3 linked regions of the Saccharomyces cerevisiae S288C genome follow. The gene in region 3 interacts genetically with the main gene of each other region. Each region holds a gene or a part of one and is shown on either strand. Other genes may lie near its edges.

Evidence for each region.
Region 1: of AFT2 (region 3) and FAB1, changing one enhances a phenotype caused by changing the other (phenotypic enhancement), as found in Saccharomyces cerevisiae (one study listed by BioGRID).
Region 2: mutations in AFT2 (region 3) and DIT2 together harm fitness more than expected from each alone (negative genetic interaction), as found in Saccharomyces cerevisiae (2 studies listed by BioGRID).

The regions. Positions count from the first base shown.
Region 1 is NC_001138.5:182,783-190,501, forward strand, and holds the start of FAB1 (1-phosphatidylinositol-3-phosphate 5-kinase), read left to right. Parts: upstream 1-1,719; coding exon 1,720-7,719. Other genes in the region: IGD1 (Igd1p), read right to left, coding at 1-79; YFR018C (uncharacterized protein), read right to left, coding at 349-1,440. UniProt on the Saccharomyces cerevisiae protein: The PI(3,5)P2 regulatory complex regulates both the synthesis and turnover of phosphatidylinositol 3,5-bisphosphate (PtdIns(3,5)P2).
Region 2 is NC_001136.10:1,271,734-1,275,678, forward strand, and holds DIT2 (putative cytochrome P450), read right to left. Parts: upstream 1,971-3,945; coding exon 501-1,970; downstream 1-500. Other genes in the region: URH1 (trifunctional uridine nucleosidase/nicotinamide riboside hydrolase/nicotinic acid riboside hydrolase), read left to right, coding at 1-352; DIT1 (Dit1p), read left to right, coding at 2,869-3,945. UniProt on the Saccharomyces cerevisiae protein: Involved in spore wall maturation. Thought to catalyze the oxidation of tyrosine residues in the formation of LL-dityrosine a precursor of the spore wall.
Region 3 is NC_001148.4:167,588-171,191, reverse strand, and holds AFT2 (Aft2p), read left to right. Parts: upstream 1-1,853; coding exon 1,854-3,104; downstream 3,105-3,604. Other genes in the region: YIG1 (Yig1p), read left to right, coding at 37-1,422. UniProt on the Saccharomyces cerevisiae protein: Transcription factor required for iron homeostasis and resistance to oxidative stress. With AFT1, activates the gene expression in response to low-iron conditions, also called iron regulon.

The sequences.
Region 1 (7,719 bases), on a different chromosome or scaffold from region 3:
CGATGTTGAGGAAGTCCTGTGATCTTTCAAATGTGGGTGACGTGCTCACTTGGGGCGTGTTCAAGTGGGGATCTGTCATGAGGGTGAGTGTATGCGTGTGTGTGTGTGTTGCGTAGATGTGTGATTTACTATGTGTTATGTAGCTGCTCTCATCGCTGCTGATAGTAGATCTCTCGCGCAAAAATTACTCAGGCAAACCTTTACTATACCTACATATATATATATATATATGTATATGTATGTGTGCAAGCTTTTCAGAGTGGTGCACTGACATTGACCGGGCCACTCATTCCACCCCACATCCCCCAGATCAGGGGGAGATGTTAACGAAAGGAAACAGGGGATTTATCACTGGTTACGGGAGCGTAGTGACTGTACTACAAATTCGCACACAAGCAGCGCCCAGTGACGAGTCTCCGCGGCGTCTAAGTGCCGGAAGTCATCATCCACGGTGTGCCATGTACTTGGGAATGGTAGCGGGATTGCATGTAATACGGGTACTCCGGCGGCCAGGAATGGCGTGTGGTCGTCTCCGATGACCGAATGCCCGAGCCCTAAAAATCGATAGTCCGTGGGGTCCAGATGTTTGCGTTGACGCGCGACTTCGGCGGCTAATGCCGATTCGCCGTTGATTTCATCTCCACGTCGAAATAACAAGTCATCCTCTATTCGATTGAGCAGCTGATATTCTTGATGTGTCTCTGCATAGTAGCTGGGCACTAGCGGCTCCTCTTCGCCACTTCCTAAAAGATCCAGAAGAAATAATAGGCGAATTCTTGTCATCGTGCCGTCAGCAAGCCATTGGGCGGCTAATCGGCGTGCTCCATAAATCGAGTCCTCGGGGCCCCACTCTTCAATGGCCTCCTCTCCATCAAAGAATACGATCTTTACACCCAAGGTAGAATTCGATACTACAGTGTTCGACTCTAAGTCATTGTACTCTTTCGTGCGCTCGTGGCACGCGATGTGCGTTAGGAACTGGGCCGTATATAGCAGCGCGGCACACGAGGCGGCACTGTCGATAGCGCCCACCATCCCCGTGGGCGCTATCTTGGTATCATAATGAGCAGCGAGCACTAAGTACTCGCTCGCATTGTTTTGTAATGTCATAACAAGGTTATTGAAGCGGTAACCGTTCTCCTCAAAGGCTTGCGTCTCAACGGCCCATTCTCCCGCCAGCGTATTGTTGAAGTGCTCGATGATGAAGCGCTGGATCTCGCGCGAGCCTTCCGATCCGGGTACGCGCGTTCTGTTAAAAGGCAACAGCAGGTTCTTGGTACTTTTGTTCCAACCGCTGTCTGGGTTGATAGCTTCGTTCAGATGCGCTGCATGGTACTGCTCATATGACAACTCCCACCCAGTTACCCTATGCACCTGAAATAGCACCAACAGGTACGCTAGACCAATTAGTCGCAAAGGCAATACGTACTTCATTCCCATGCTTACGACCTTTTCAGTCTTTTTATTTCTTTTCTGTTGACTCTCTCTAACTCTCCCTCTCCCCCTCTTCTTCCCATGAAATGTATCACAAGCCGTCTTATTCCTTTGCTTCTTATATTCTTATGTTCCTTCCTTCGTCTCGCCTCGAAGGCAACGCAAACGCAATGTACTTCTTGACGAACGCGAAAACCATATGGAAAGTAAATAAAGGGCCAAACAAAAAACTATTTCGAATAGCAAGGTAGCTTCCATCCTGTACATGCAAGACCGTCACACAGCATGTCATCGGAAGAACCCCATGCATCTATATCCTTTCCAGATGGCTCACATGTCCGGTCGTCCTCCACTGGTACTTCATCTGTGAACACAATCGATGCTACCTTATCCAGACCGAACTATATTAAGAAACCGTCCCTGCACATTATGTCGACATCTACGACGTCGACTACGACGGATCTAGTGACAAACCCAATTCTGAGCAATATCTCCGTGCCAAAAATAAGCCCCCCCACATCATCCTCGATAGCAACAGCGACATCAACAAGTCACGTGACCGGCACTGCGTCGCATTCGAACATTAAAGCTAATGCTAACACTAGTACCAGCGTGAATAAGAAAAATTTGCCGCCAACAACTAGTGGGAGGATACCCTCTAGCACCATCAAGAGATATCCGAGTCGCTATAAGCCTTCTCACTCGCTGCAGCTGCCCATTAAGAACGACTCCAACTTTAAACGATCTAGCATATATGCCTCCAAATCCACTGTTACTGCTATCCCCATTAGGAACAATCGGCCAATTTCCATGCAGAATTCCTATGCGCGCACTCCTGACAGCGATCATGACGACGTTGGCGATGAAGTGTCTTCGATAAAGAGTGCCTCTTCTTCGTTGACCGCATCCCTGTCCAAGAGTTTCCTGTTCGCATTTTATAACAACCGCAAGAAGGACAAGACCAGTAACAATGGTGTCCTCTCAAAGGAATATTGGATGAAGGACGAGAGTTCTAAAGAATGTTTCAGTTGTGGTAAAACGTTTAACACTTTCAGAAGGAAACACCACTGCAGGATATGCGGCCAAATTTTTTGCAGCAGTTGCACTCTCTTGATAGATGGTGATCGATTCGGCTGTCATGCCAAGATGCGAGTATGTTACAATTGTTATGAGCATGCAGACACATACGAGGACTCCAGTGATGAAGAGAATGATTCTACAATGCAATTGAATGAGCCAAGGTCTCGCTCTCGCTCTCGTTCTTCCAATACCAATCCATATTCTCATTCACATTCGCATTTGCATCTCATTTCACAGGACAACCATAACGGTACCGATCTCCATGATCCAGTAGCAGCAACGGATAACCCTCAACAGCAGAATGAGGTCTACCTATTAAATGACGATGACGTACAAAGTATAATGACCTCAGGTGAAGATTCTAAATTGTTCATTTCTACACCCCCACCACCACCGAAGATGGCCATCCCAGCAACAAAGCAAGGCGGATCGCTGGAAATCTCATTCGATTCGGAAAACGATAGGGCTTTGCATTATCAAGATGACAACCCCGGTCGCCATCATCACCTCGATTCCGTGCCCACAAGGTACACTATCAGAGATATGGACAATATATCACATTACGATACCAACTCTAATTCCACTTTGAGGCCACATTATAACACCAATAACAGCACTATTACCATCAACAACCTCAACAACACTACTTCCAACAACAGCAACTATAACAATACCAATAGCAACAGCAACATCAATAATCCTGCGCATTCCTTAAGAAGGTCTATTTTCCATTATGTAAGCAGCAATAGTGTTAACAAGGACAGTAACAATAGCTCTGCAACACCCGCTTCGTCTGCACAGTCTTCTTCCATACTGGATCCTGCCAATCGTATTATCGGGAATTATGCTCATAGAAATTACAAGTTTAAATTCAACTACAATTCCAAAGGTCCTTCGCAACAAAATGACACGGCAAATGGAAATAATGATAATAATAATAATAATAATAATAATAATAATAATAATAATAATAACAGTGCCAGCGGTATTGCTGACAACAATAACATTCCCTCAAACGACAATGGCACGACGTTCACTCTAGATAAGAAGAAAAGAAACCCACTGACAAAATCTAAATCTACGTCCGCTTACCTAGAATATCCTCTAAACGAGGAAGACTCTTCTGAGGACGAAGGTTCCATGTCCATATATTCTGTATTGAATGATGACCATAAAACTGACAATCCAATTAGATCAATGAGGAACTCCACAAAATCTTTTCAACGAGCGCAAGCTTCACTACAGCGGATGAGGTTTAGAAGGAAAAGTAAAAGCAAGCATTTTCCCAACAATTCGAAAAGTTCCATTTATAGAGACTTAAATTTCTTGACCAATAGTACTCCCAATTTACTTTCTGTAGTAAGCGACGATAATCTATACGACGATTCTTCTCCTTTGCAAGACAAGGCCTCTTCATCCGCTGCAAGCAGACTCACTGACAGAAAATTCAGCAATAGCAGTGGCAGCAATAATAATAGCAATAGTAATAGCAATATCAACACCGATCCTTGGAAGAGAATCGCTAGTATATCGGGATTCAAACTGAAAAAGGAAAAAAAGAGAGAATTAAATGAAGTCTCTCTTTTACATATGCATGCCCTATTAAAACAATTATTGAATGATCAAGAAATTTCCAATCTTCAAGAATGGATAACCCTTCTAGATGGCGCTTTGCGTAAAGTTTTAAGGACCATCCTGAACGCGAGGGATTTGAACACATTAGATTTTAGACAAACTTACGTTAAGATAAAAAGAATTAGTGGTGGATCTCCTCAAAATTCAGAATATATCGACGGGGTTGTCTTTTCGAAAGCATTGCCGTCGAAAACAATGCCACGGCATTTGAAAAACCCAAGGATACTATTAATCATGTTTCCACTGGAGTACCAAAAGAACAATAACCACTTTCTAAGTATAGAGTCCGTCTTTAGGCAAGAGCGCGAATATTTGGATAAACTTGTTTCGAGATTAAAGTCATTACATCCTGATATTATATACGTCGGCGCCAATGTTAGTGGGTACGCGTTAGAACTATTAAATGACTCAGGCATTGTCGTACAGTTTAATATGAAACCACAAGTCATTGAAAGAATTGCCAAGCTAACAGAAGCAGATATTGCCATTTCTGTGGATAAGTTGGCTACGAATATTAAGATGGGTGAATGTGAAACTTTTGAAGTTAAAAGCTACATTTATGGAAACATCAGTAAAACATATACATTTCTTCGGGGCTGTAACCCAGAACTTGGTGGAACAATTTTGTTAAGAGGTGATAGTCTTGAAAACTTGAGAAAAATCAAACAAGTCTCTGAATTTATGGTCTACGCAATTTTTTCATTGAAGTTGGAAAGTTCATTTTTTAACGATAATTTCATACAACTTTCTACAGATGTTTATTTGAAGAGAGCTGAATCCAAAAAACTGCAAGTTTTCGAAGGTTATTTTGCAGATTTCTTGATCAAATTCAATAACAGGATTTTGACTGTATCACCAACGGTAGATTTCCCCATTCCCTTTTTATTGGAAAAAGCCAGAGGCTTGGAAAAGAAGCTCATAGAAAGGATCAATCAATATGAAAGCGAATCTGATTTAGATCGGCAAACGCAACTAAATATGCTTCAAGGCTTAGAATCGACTATCACTAAGAAACACTTAGGAAATTTAATAAAATTCCTGCATGAAATGGAAATTGAAAATTTAGAGCTTGAGTTTCAGAAGAGAAGTCGTCAATGGGAGGTTTCATATTCATCATCACAGAACTTACTTGGTACGGGCTCACACCAGTCTATAACAGTTCTCTACTCAATGGTTTCAACAAAGACTGCCACACCTTGCGTTGGCCCTCAAATTGTTACTATTGACTATTTTTGGGACAGTGATATTTCCATTGGTCAGTTTATCGAGAACGTCGTGGGAACTGCCAGGTATCCCTGCCAACAAGGCTGTAATGGTCTGTATTTGGATCATTATAGAAGCTATGTTCATGGGTCAGGAAAAGTAGACGTTTTAATCGAAAAATTCCAAACTAGATTACCAAAATTAAAAGATATTATCCTCACGTGGAGTTATTGTAAAAAATGTGGGACATCTACTCCGATTTTACAAATTAGCGAAAAAACCTGGAATCATTCTTTCGGTAAATATTTAGAAGTCATGTTTTGGAGTTACAAAGATAGCGTGACAGGAATTGGGAAATGTCCTCATGATTTCACTAAAGATCATGTCAAATACTTTGGTTACAATGATTTAGTGGTTCGACTAGAATATTCTGATTTAGAAGTTCATGAATTGATAACCCCACCACGCAAAATAAAATGGAAACCTCATATCGACATCAAACTGAAGGTGGAACTATACTATAAGATTCTGGAAAAGATCAATAATTTCTATGGGAGTGTCCTAAGTCGGTTGGAACGTATTAAATTGGATAGTATGACTAAAGATAAAGTTCTTAGTGGACAAGCTAAAATTATCGAATTGAAGAGCAATGCTACAGAGGAGCAAAAATTAATGTTGCAAGACCTGGATACTTTTTACGCAGATAGTCCTTGCGATCAACATTTACCATTGAACCTGGTTATCAAATCTCTATACGATAAGGCTGTAAATTGGAACTCTACATTTGCGATATTTGCAAAAAGCTATTTGCCTTCTGAAACTGATATTAGTCGTATCACGGCCAAGCAGCTGAAAAAACTGTTTTACGATTCTTCAAGAAAAGACAGCGAAGACAAAAAATCACTTCATGATGAAAAGGCGAAGACGAGGAAACCAGAAAAGAACGAATTACCGTTAGAGGGATTGAAAGATGTCGAAAAGCCGAAAATTGATAGCAAGAATACGACAGAGAATCGTGACAGAACGAACGAACCACAGAATGCCGTGACGATAACCACTTTTAAAGACGACACTCCAATTATTCCAACAAGTGGTACTAGTCACTTGACAGTTACACCTTCTGCATCGTCGGTTTCTTCTTCTTTGACCCCTCAAACCGAAGAACGTCCGCCAATAAGCAGAAGTGGAACAGGTATATCTATGACTCATGATAAAAGCACTAGACCTAACATAAGAAAAATGAGTAGTGATAGTAGTTTATGTGGACTAGCATCACTTGCTAATGAATATAGTAAAAATAATAAGGTGAGTAAGCTAGCTACATTTTTCGATCAAATGCATTTTGATGCCCTGTCGAAAGAATTTGAACTGGAACGTGAAAGGGAAAGATTACAACTTAATAAGGATAAATACCAAGCCATACGATTACAAACATCCACACCAATTGTGGAAATTTATAAAAATGTCAAAGACGCAGTTGATGAACCGCTTCACTCTAGAAGTTCAGGCAATAATTTGTCATCTGCGAATGTTAAGACTTTGGAGGCACCTGTGGGAGAACATTCCCGGGCCAATAATTGTAATCCTCCTAATTTAGATCAAAACTTGGAAACTGAATTAGAAAATTCCATTAGCCAATGGGGAGAAAACATTTTGAACCCCTCTGGAAAGACCACCGCAAGTACTCATTTAAATTCTAAGCCAGTAGTAAAGGAAACTTCAGAAAATCCAAAGTCAATAGTTAGAGAATCAGATAATTCAAAGTCGGAGCCGCTTCCACCTGTAATAACAACAACAACTGTCAATAAGGTAGAATCCACTCCACAACCTGAAAAATCATTATTGATGAAAACCTTGAGCAACTTTTGGGCAGATCGATCTGCGTATTTGTGGAAACCCCTTGTTTATCCAACCTGTCCTTCGGAACACATTTTTACTGATAGTGACGTTATAATCCGCGAAGATGAACCAAGTTCCTTGATCGCATTTTGCTTAAGTACTTCTGACTATAGAAATAAAATGATGAACTTGAATGTCCAGCAACAACAGCAGCAGCAAACAGCAGAAGCTGCTCCTGCCAAAACAGGAGGAAACAGTGGAGGAACTACGCAAACCGGGGATCCTTCTGTTAACATTTCTCCCTCAGTTTCTACAACTTCTCATAATAAGGGGAGGGACTCAGAAATTTCATCCTTAGTAACCACCAAAGAGGGCTTGTTGAACACCCCTCCCATTGAAGGCGCCCGAGATAGGACCCCACAAGAATCACAAACGCATTCCCAAGCAAATTTAGATACTCTTCAAGAATTAGAGAAAATTATGACAAAAAAAACAGCCACACACTTGAGATATCAATTTGAGGAGGGT
Region 2 (3,945 bases), on a different chromosome or scaffold from region 3:
CAAGTTACGAGAATTGTTTTTGGAGCTTTTTCAATTTTTTGCTCATACCTACAAGGATATGCAAGGATTTGAATCGGGCCCACCTATACATGATCCGGTAGCTTTGATGCCGCTTTTGGAATTTTATGGGTGGGATCCATCGTCTGCGGTTGGATTTCGCTACAAGAGAATGGACATATCCTGCATTGATGATGTTTTCAACGAAAACTCAGGGAAAATTATCATTGAAAAAGAATATCCAAATGACAGTGATGTTGGTACAATAATTGGTCTCGATTTGAATATCCAGTACTTTTGGGATCAGATTTTTGAAGCATTAAATAGAGCAGACAAAATGTCAACGATTGGATAAGAACTTCTATAAAAGGCTTTTTTTTTTTCTACTGACCTTTGGTCAGGTTCTGTTCCTTTCATTTTCACTGGATACAAAGAAGTTTCACTAAAAGTTGTCGCGATTGTATACATATATGCGTATATATACAATTCTACATGTTTTATATTTATTCCATTATATTCTCGTTAAATTTTAACTTTAAATTAAGAGGGCAAAGAGGCCCAGCGGGAGTTAATTTTTCTTCCCATTCAGGGTCAAGACTCCATCGAAACTGTTTCAACATTTCAGCCAAAGAAATTCTCATTTCTGTTAGGGCTAGTTTTTCCCCTAGGCATGCTCTTCGGCCTCCATGGAACCCAGTCACAGCACATCTGTTTTTCGCCATTCTCCAGTTTTTCCTTATGGTTTCGATATCTGAACCCCATCTTTCTGGTTTAAAATCATCTGCTGTTGTGCCCCAAGTTTTGGGATCGTGTGAGGTTCCAAAGTTGTTGTACCCGACATATACGCCCTTGGGTATAACAATTTCCGCCCCCAACTTGCACGTTTTGGTAGTACATCTATTAATAATTGTGCTCAAAGGAGGATACATTCTTACTACTTCGAAGAGAAAAGCATTTAATAAGGGTAAATCTGCTAAGCCTTTTGGATCAGTGATGCCGTTTACTTCCTTCCTGAGTTTCTCTTGCCATTCATTTGAATATTTGGCTAGAAGGTAGAGTGAACTATTAAATAGCAACTGCGGGTTTTCATGGCCAGCGACAAGGATAATGACGATATTATCGGTCAACTGTTTGTAGTCGATTATTTCGTTATTGTGAGCACGAATTAGATCACTGGCAGCAAAAGTAGTTTGTTCAAATTTGTAATTATTGACTAATTCATCTTGAACTCTTTTAACGAGAAGTTCTCTAAAACTAACAACATCCTTGAAGGCTTTTTTTCTTGAAGGAATAGGAAGAACATCAAGGAATGGAAAAGTTAAAAAGAATGGATGAAATATTTGCTTTTTAATACGAATCAAATGCTCGTGGAAAGCATTTTTTTCATGTGTTAGAGCACCAAAATCAAATCCAAGGGCAACCTGTGAAATGTTATCCAATGCCATTCTCTGGGATAAAGGTCCCATAGGGATCGAAGTTTGTCCTTCTAGGAGTCTGTTTTTTATCAAAGTGCATAAAATTTTTGCATTTTTGAATATAGGTGCATCGTCAAAATGTTGGAGCCCGTTTGTCACAGCATTTCTGTAGTTTCTCCAAACTGCACCATACGCGCTAATGACATTGTCCCCTGTGTAAGCGGCAAGAGCACTGTATGGGATTTTCTTTTGATTACCGCTCTTCGCAAAAGTATCTTCATCTTTGAATATTTGTGCTAGATACTCAGAACGAGAAACGAGAATATTCCACCGTGAACCAAAGAAAAATTTTACAGCACCGTATTTTTCCATTGATTCCCTAATATAAAGATCGTATAGCTCCGTTTGATCAATGGGAAATATTACTGGTAAAAATACTACATAAAATGGGATGGTGGGTATATTTTTGGGAAAGTTTAGAGGTGGGACAATGATTGCAAAGGCGACATAGGAAAGAGTAAGAAATAAAATCAAACACAGAAGCTTTAACAACTCCATTTTTAATGCTTTTTTCGATTTATTCTCTTAGTCTGAATCAAATACCATTTTGAAAAAACGAAAATATTTCAAGAAAATTAATGTATTTTTTTGCACTACCTAATATACTATTCGCATCAGGATGACCAGTCATTCCTCTTGTGGTCCGTGGCTTGTAATTTTCGGGAAAGATAGAAATCACTGCATTCATCGAAAGAAGTGAAAATAAATTGTATCGGGGAAGTAATGAGGGGTGGAATACGTAATTGCTTCTCAATTTGATAATACAAGTTACAGTCTTTTTATTGAGAGTCCCTGGAAGGAAAATTATTGATGTTTACCTTTTTTTGCGACGCGCGTCTGGCCATAAATAAAAGGGTTCTCTTGCCAAGAAAAAATAAAAAGGCGCCTTAAGGGACCTTCTATGACAAATATGGTGAGGTATGCAACCTCAATGAAGAGCAATGAGAAAATTTAAGGGGTAAGTAAGCATCGGAATTTGTTGTTTCCTAACAATTTGTCTAATTTACTCAATAATATCAGGAGAATTGATCGAAAAAAGCAAACCAGGAACCCCTCACAAATAAGGGAACATAAAGTAATTGCTCGTCTTTACATACATGGCACTCAATCCCAGACGTCGCGTGCTAAAAATCCTTATATTATTGGCCCCTCAGGAGTTTATTTGAATTTTGATTGCATTGCTTTCAGTGGACAGTATATCATAAAATTTGCAAGGGCATAGTGCCTGCCCTACGATGTTGTAAAACAATTTCTGAAAATAGGTTCAGAATCAAAAATGATGTATAAATATTGAAATAAATTTTCACATAAATTGTGCTCCTCCGCAAAGTCTTGACTAAATAAACAATTTGTTAATATCCTAATTCGGTAAAGCTTTGTCGAGACATTAACAAAAATGACATTTACTAGCAACTTGCCCTCAAGCTCCGAGCAGTCAATATCACCACCTGCCTCTTCATTTTCTTCATCGACTGATACGTTGAAAGATATTGATATTCCCCATAATGGGGCCGATTTGTCTACATATAGTAAATTTCTGGCCCTGTATTGCAGAAGCGACAAATGTGACGATTTTTACTCTTTAGAGGAAAAACAGAATTGTAAATTTGGAGACCAATGGCTCGACTTTATCAACACTATTCACAATCTGGACTTTTCTGAATCCGAAGTAAGTGGACGGGTTTCTGAAAGAATTTTGCCAGCTTCTTTAGCAAATAAATTTACCAATAATTTAGGAGTGGCAATAAAGATTTCTGAATATACACGCGATGACGAACGCCAGATTCGTGGGTGTGTTACAACAGTTGAGAATGAAAATTCTTTCAATAACTGGTTCGTATATCATATTTTAGACCAATCTCAATTATCTCTAAGTGAACATCCAATTGTAACCAAAGAAGTTAAGTATCACGAATTATTTGCAGATTTTTTTGAGAAAAATTTGAAAAACACAATAGTTAATGATCAATGGAATTTTGGTGGCCGTGATTATTTTATTGAACGTTCAAGATATTTTACCGATCGATATTTGAGAATTGAATGCATCTTGCCAGCGTTTCCATGTAAGTCATCTAATGAGCAAAAAGTGTACGGTTCCGTTCCTGACAAAGGCGAAGAACTCGCTTTGAAAAGATTAATAAAAGCCACACAAGACCTTGTCAAGATATATCCACCGGGTATGAAAATTTGGATAGTTAGTGATGGCCATGTTTTCTCCGATTGTATTGGGGTCGATGATGACGTCGTGAGTACTTACACGACCAAATTGCACGAACTGTATAAAAGAGTGGCTATACCTGGTGTTGACGCCATTGGCTTTTGTGGATTGAACGATTTATTTTTTAGCGGTGCAGCTAGTAAAGTTTTCGATCCAAAGTGGGTTAGTGATGTTGAAGTTGCACACTACACAGGAACTCAAATCTGTCCTAAGTCCGATTTGTCGAGACAGATTTTGATGAAAGGCTGTGATACA
Region 3 (3,604 bases):
AACACCCTCAAGAAAGAAAATAATCATAACGAAATCATGGGTATACCTATGCAAATATACCAGGATGGGAAGGGGGTGCAATTTTACCACACGAGATATCAGAACGTATTTGACGAACGGGCGAGCAAGTATGGCAACTACACGGTGAATAATGATTACCCACAGCTTCCAGATACGATAAAGGAACATATCGACCAGCTTACCTTTAGCAATGTCGGAGAGGATGGTGGAGATGTTGGAAACTATTCTGAAGAAGACGATGATGGTGACGAAGAAAAGGAACTTGAAGATGTTTTTCGAAGTAACCGTGGGTTGGAATTTGTACGGATTAATAACTATTTTACTACCCACGATTTACAAAGTTTCAAAAGTTTTAGAAATTTCAATAGCAAGTACTGGATTTTTTATTCTAATCAAGCAGAGGACAAAAAATTACTGCTGTATGACTTTAACGGCCAACATTTGATTTTTATTAAGCAGCAATTTTACGGGCAGTTGAATTTACTGCTATCGGACGCAATAATATGTATGGACTGCAATTTTGGTTATAATTCAAACACCATTCAAATTTTAGTTGGATTTCAGAATGGAAAGTTGTTAAAGCTAAACTGCGACTTGAACGGAAACGTAAACAATCACTTGCTTTTGAAGGATCCTTCAACTTCCTCTCATCAAAGCCACCTATCTATATTAAATGTCTGGGCAGGTTTGTTGCCACATTTCGTTGTTTCTTTTAGTTTGAAAGATGGGCTGCTAATAACTTCTTTAGATCACCAACAAAGCAATGGAAGTTTTCAAAGTTTCCATACCAACATTGATTTGCCTGTAGATCTACGCACGACCACAAATGTCAAGTCCGTTTTAAATTTCCCTCAGTTTACTTTATACAAAGGAAATGATATGATTTTCCACTGCAAGAATCTATTAGGATCGGATGCTTCCACGCTAAACAAGGAAATAAACTTTATGCTTAAAATAGACGAAGACGTTCAAAAGATCGACTATCTTCTTAAAACGAATCACATTTTACTCGAAACCAACATGAGATATCTGTCCATTCCAACAAGAGACCCCATAGAGAATTCAAATTCTTCTCCACCCGTCTCAGACAGCGAGGTTTATCCAATATTTTACAAGACACAAGAACTTCATGTCCATGCTTCAGGAACAGGACGTCAGATAGCAAACAATGGGAAGTATATTTTTATAACCGAGCAACATCTCTACGGAACAGCGTTATCGGTATACAAGTACTCTATATCTTTCAAACGGTGGCTGTTCGTGGGCTACTCAGACATTAGGGCCAAATACGGTATAAGGAGTGTCAAAGATCTCTTTGTTGGTAACTGTCCCTCTGTAAATAGCCCAGTGCTGACAATTCTTACTGATGACAATAACATTCAAACAATTCTTCTTAAATAAAGGTTAAGGAAATGTAAATAAAAAAAATAACAGTGACATTAATTTGTATATATCTCAACTTCTTCACTTTAACCTGTCTGAGCTGTTTGGTTTTGAACTGGAAGCACGTTTCTCATTTTATTGAACGATACCAGAGCCATTCATTATTCGATTGACGGTAAGCGGTATTGTGCGAAAAGCAAAGGGAAAAAATAGAAAGAACAAAAAAAAGAAAGAAAAAAGCACCGTAAAAAAAAAAATCGTTTCGTGGGCCGAGATCGGTAAAGTGGCTTTCTTTTAGTCAGAATTGATTTTCTTTTGATTAAGGCAAAAACTGTGCAAATTAAACTGATGGACCTATACATAATAGTGAACACGACTCATTCAAAAAATTTGTTGTAGTGACCAGAAACTCTGGCGCAAATTAATCAAGAGAAAGCGACCCCCAAGAAATGAAAGCAAAGTCGATGAAGAGCATAATATCTGTGCCAATATCAGTGTCTAAAACAGGGAAAATGAAGTTAACAGCATCTCCCGATAATCTAGCATCTATGATGTCTAAAGACCAAAATAAACTTATTCATTTAGACCCAGTTCCGTCTTTTGAGGACAGGCACGAGATTAAACCGTGGCTACAGAAAATATTCTATCCTCAAGGAATAGATATAGTCATCGAAAGATCAGATAGTAGCAAAGTTACTTTTAAGTGTAGGTCAGTACGATCGAAAGTAGGGTTGAACCCTAAATCCAAAGGTTCCTCTTCAAGATCCCATGCATGTCCATTTAGAATTAGAGCAGCCTACTCTGTGCGGTTACAGAAGTGGAACGTGGTTGTTATGAATAACATACATTCACATGAGCTGAGATTTGATTTGATTACTAAAACGGATGACTATAAAAAGTTTAAGGAAAATCTTCGTCAGAAGAACGACGAAAAAGCCATCAAAACATTTGATGAATTAGAATATAAAGCAAGTCTAAACTTACCACTCGTCACACCAATTATTTCTTGTGACTGTGGGTTAACCAAGGAAATTGAAGCTTTCAATAACATTTTTCTCCCACTATCAAACCCCCCTTTGACGTCTAAAAAAAATTTGCTCAAAACAAATAAAAACTCCGTTTCTAAAATAAAATCCAGACAGATGGATAATTCGAAACCTAGGCCAAGGTTGAAAACGAAGTTGGATGCGGATCTACATGATACCGGATTTTTAGACAATTTCAAAACGCGGAATTCCTGTGTAAAGATAGAGAAAGAAGATTCTTTAACGAACTTAAACGAAATTGATTTTACGAACATGTTTTGCAACGACAATTTCATCCAAAATTACAACCAAGGCCTGATGGAACTTTTGACAGAACCTACACCAGGTCCTTCGTCCTCTTCTTGTATACTTCCTTCAACACCAACGAGGCCCTTGTCACAAAGCAAAATGGATATAGCCCTGTCAGAATCAACAACATCTTCACCAAATTTTATGGAAACAGACGCTCCTTATGGAGATGAGATCATTAAAGTTTCCAAAGATACCAAAAGCAACGCACCAACTGCTGATACAGATATTGCTACGAACTTAGGCAAAGAGAGAAACGAAAATTTTGGCATGTTAAACTACAACTACGAAGCGTTGCTTCATTTCAACGATGAGCATTTTAATGAATTAAATTCTATTGACCCAGCCTTAATATCAAAATATTAATTATTTAGTTTTCAACTCATTAAAACGGTATCACGTTTAAATATGTGACAAGATCTGATGGACATGAATAATGGTGATATCAGCACCATCGAGGGATTTTGGACCTTAGACTTTTTAAAGCTACGGAGGACTTAAAGCATGTCGATACAAATAAGATATATCATGGCTTCATGCGCTCAAAAGTTTTATTCTTCAAGTTTGTTGATTATAATATGGTTCACGTGCGCTTCATCTTTTCATAGGTAATGCACCGCAACATTCAATTATCTAAAAAACTTTCAGGCGTGCCGGTCCCCTAATTTTTGCACTGAGATCATGAGATCAGTAAGTAAAAGCTCATATAGGAAATAATCATATAGAAAAAAGCAGAGGAATGATATTCGAACATTTTCTATACATCACCCCTCCTATTTTTAGATGAATCTCTAAGATCTAAATGCCCTCAACTTAAATATGATATTGAATTAAAATGAATTGTAGTATAGAAGATATTTAGGGCA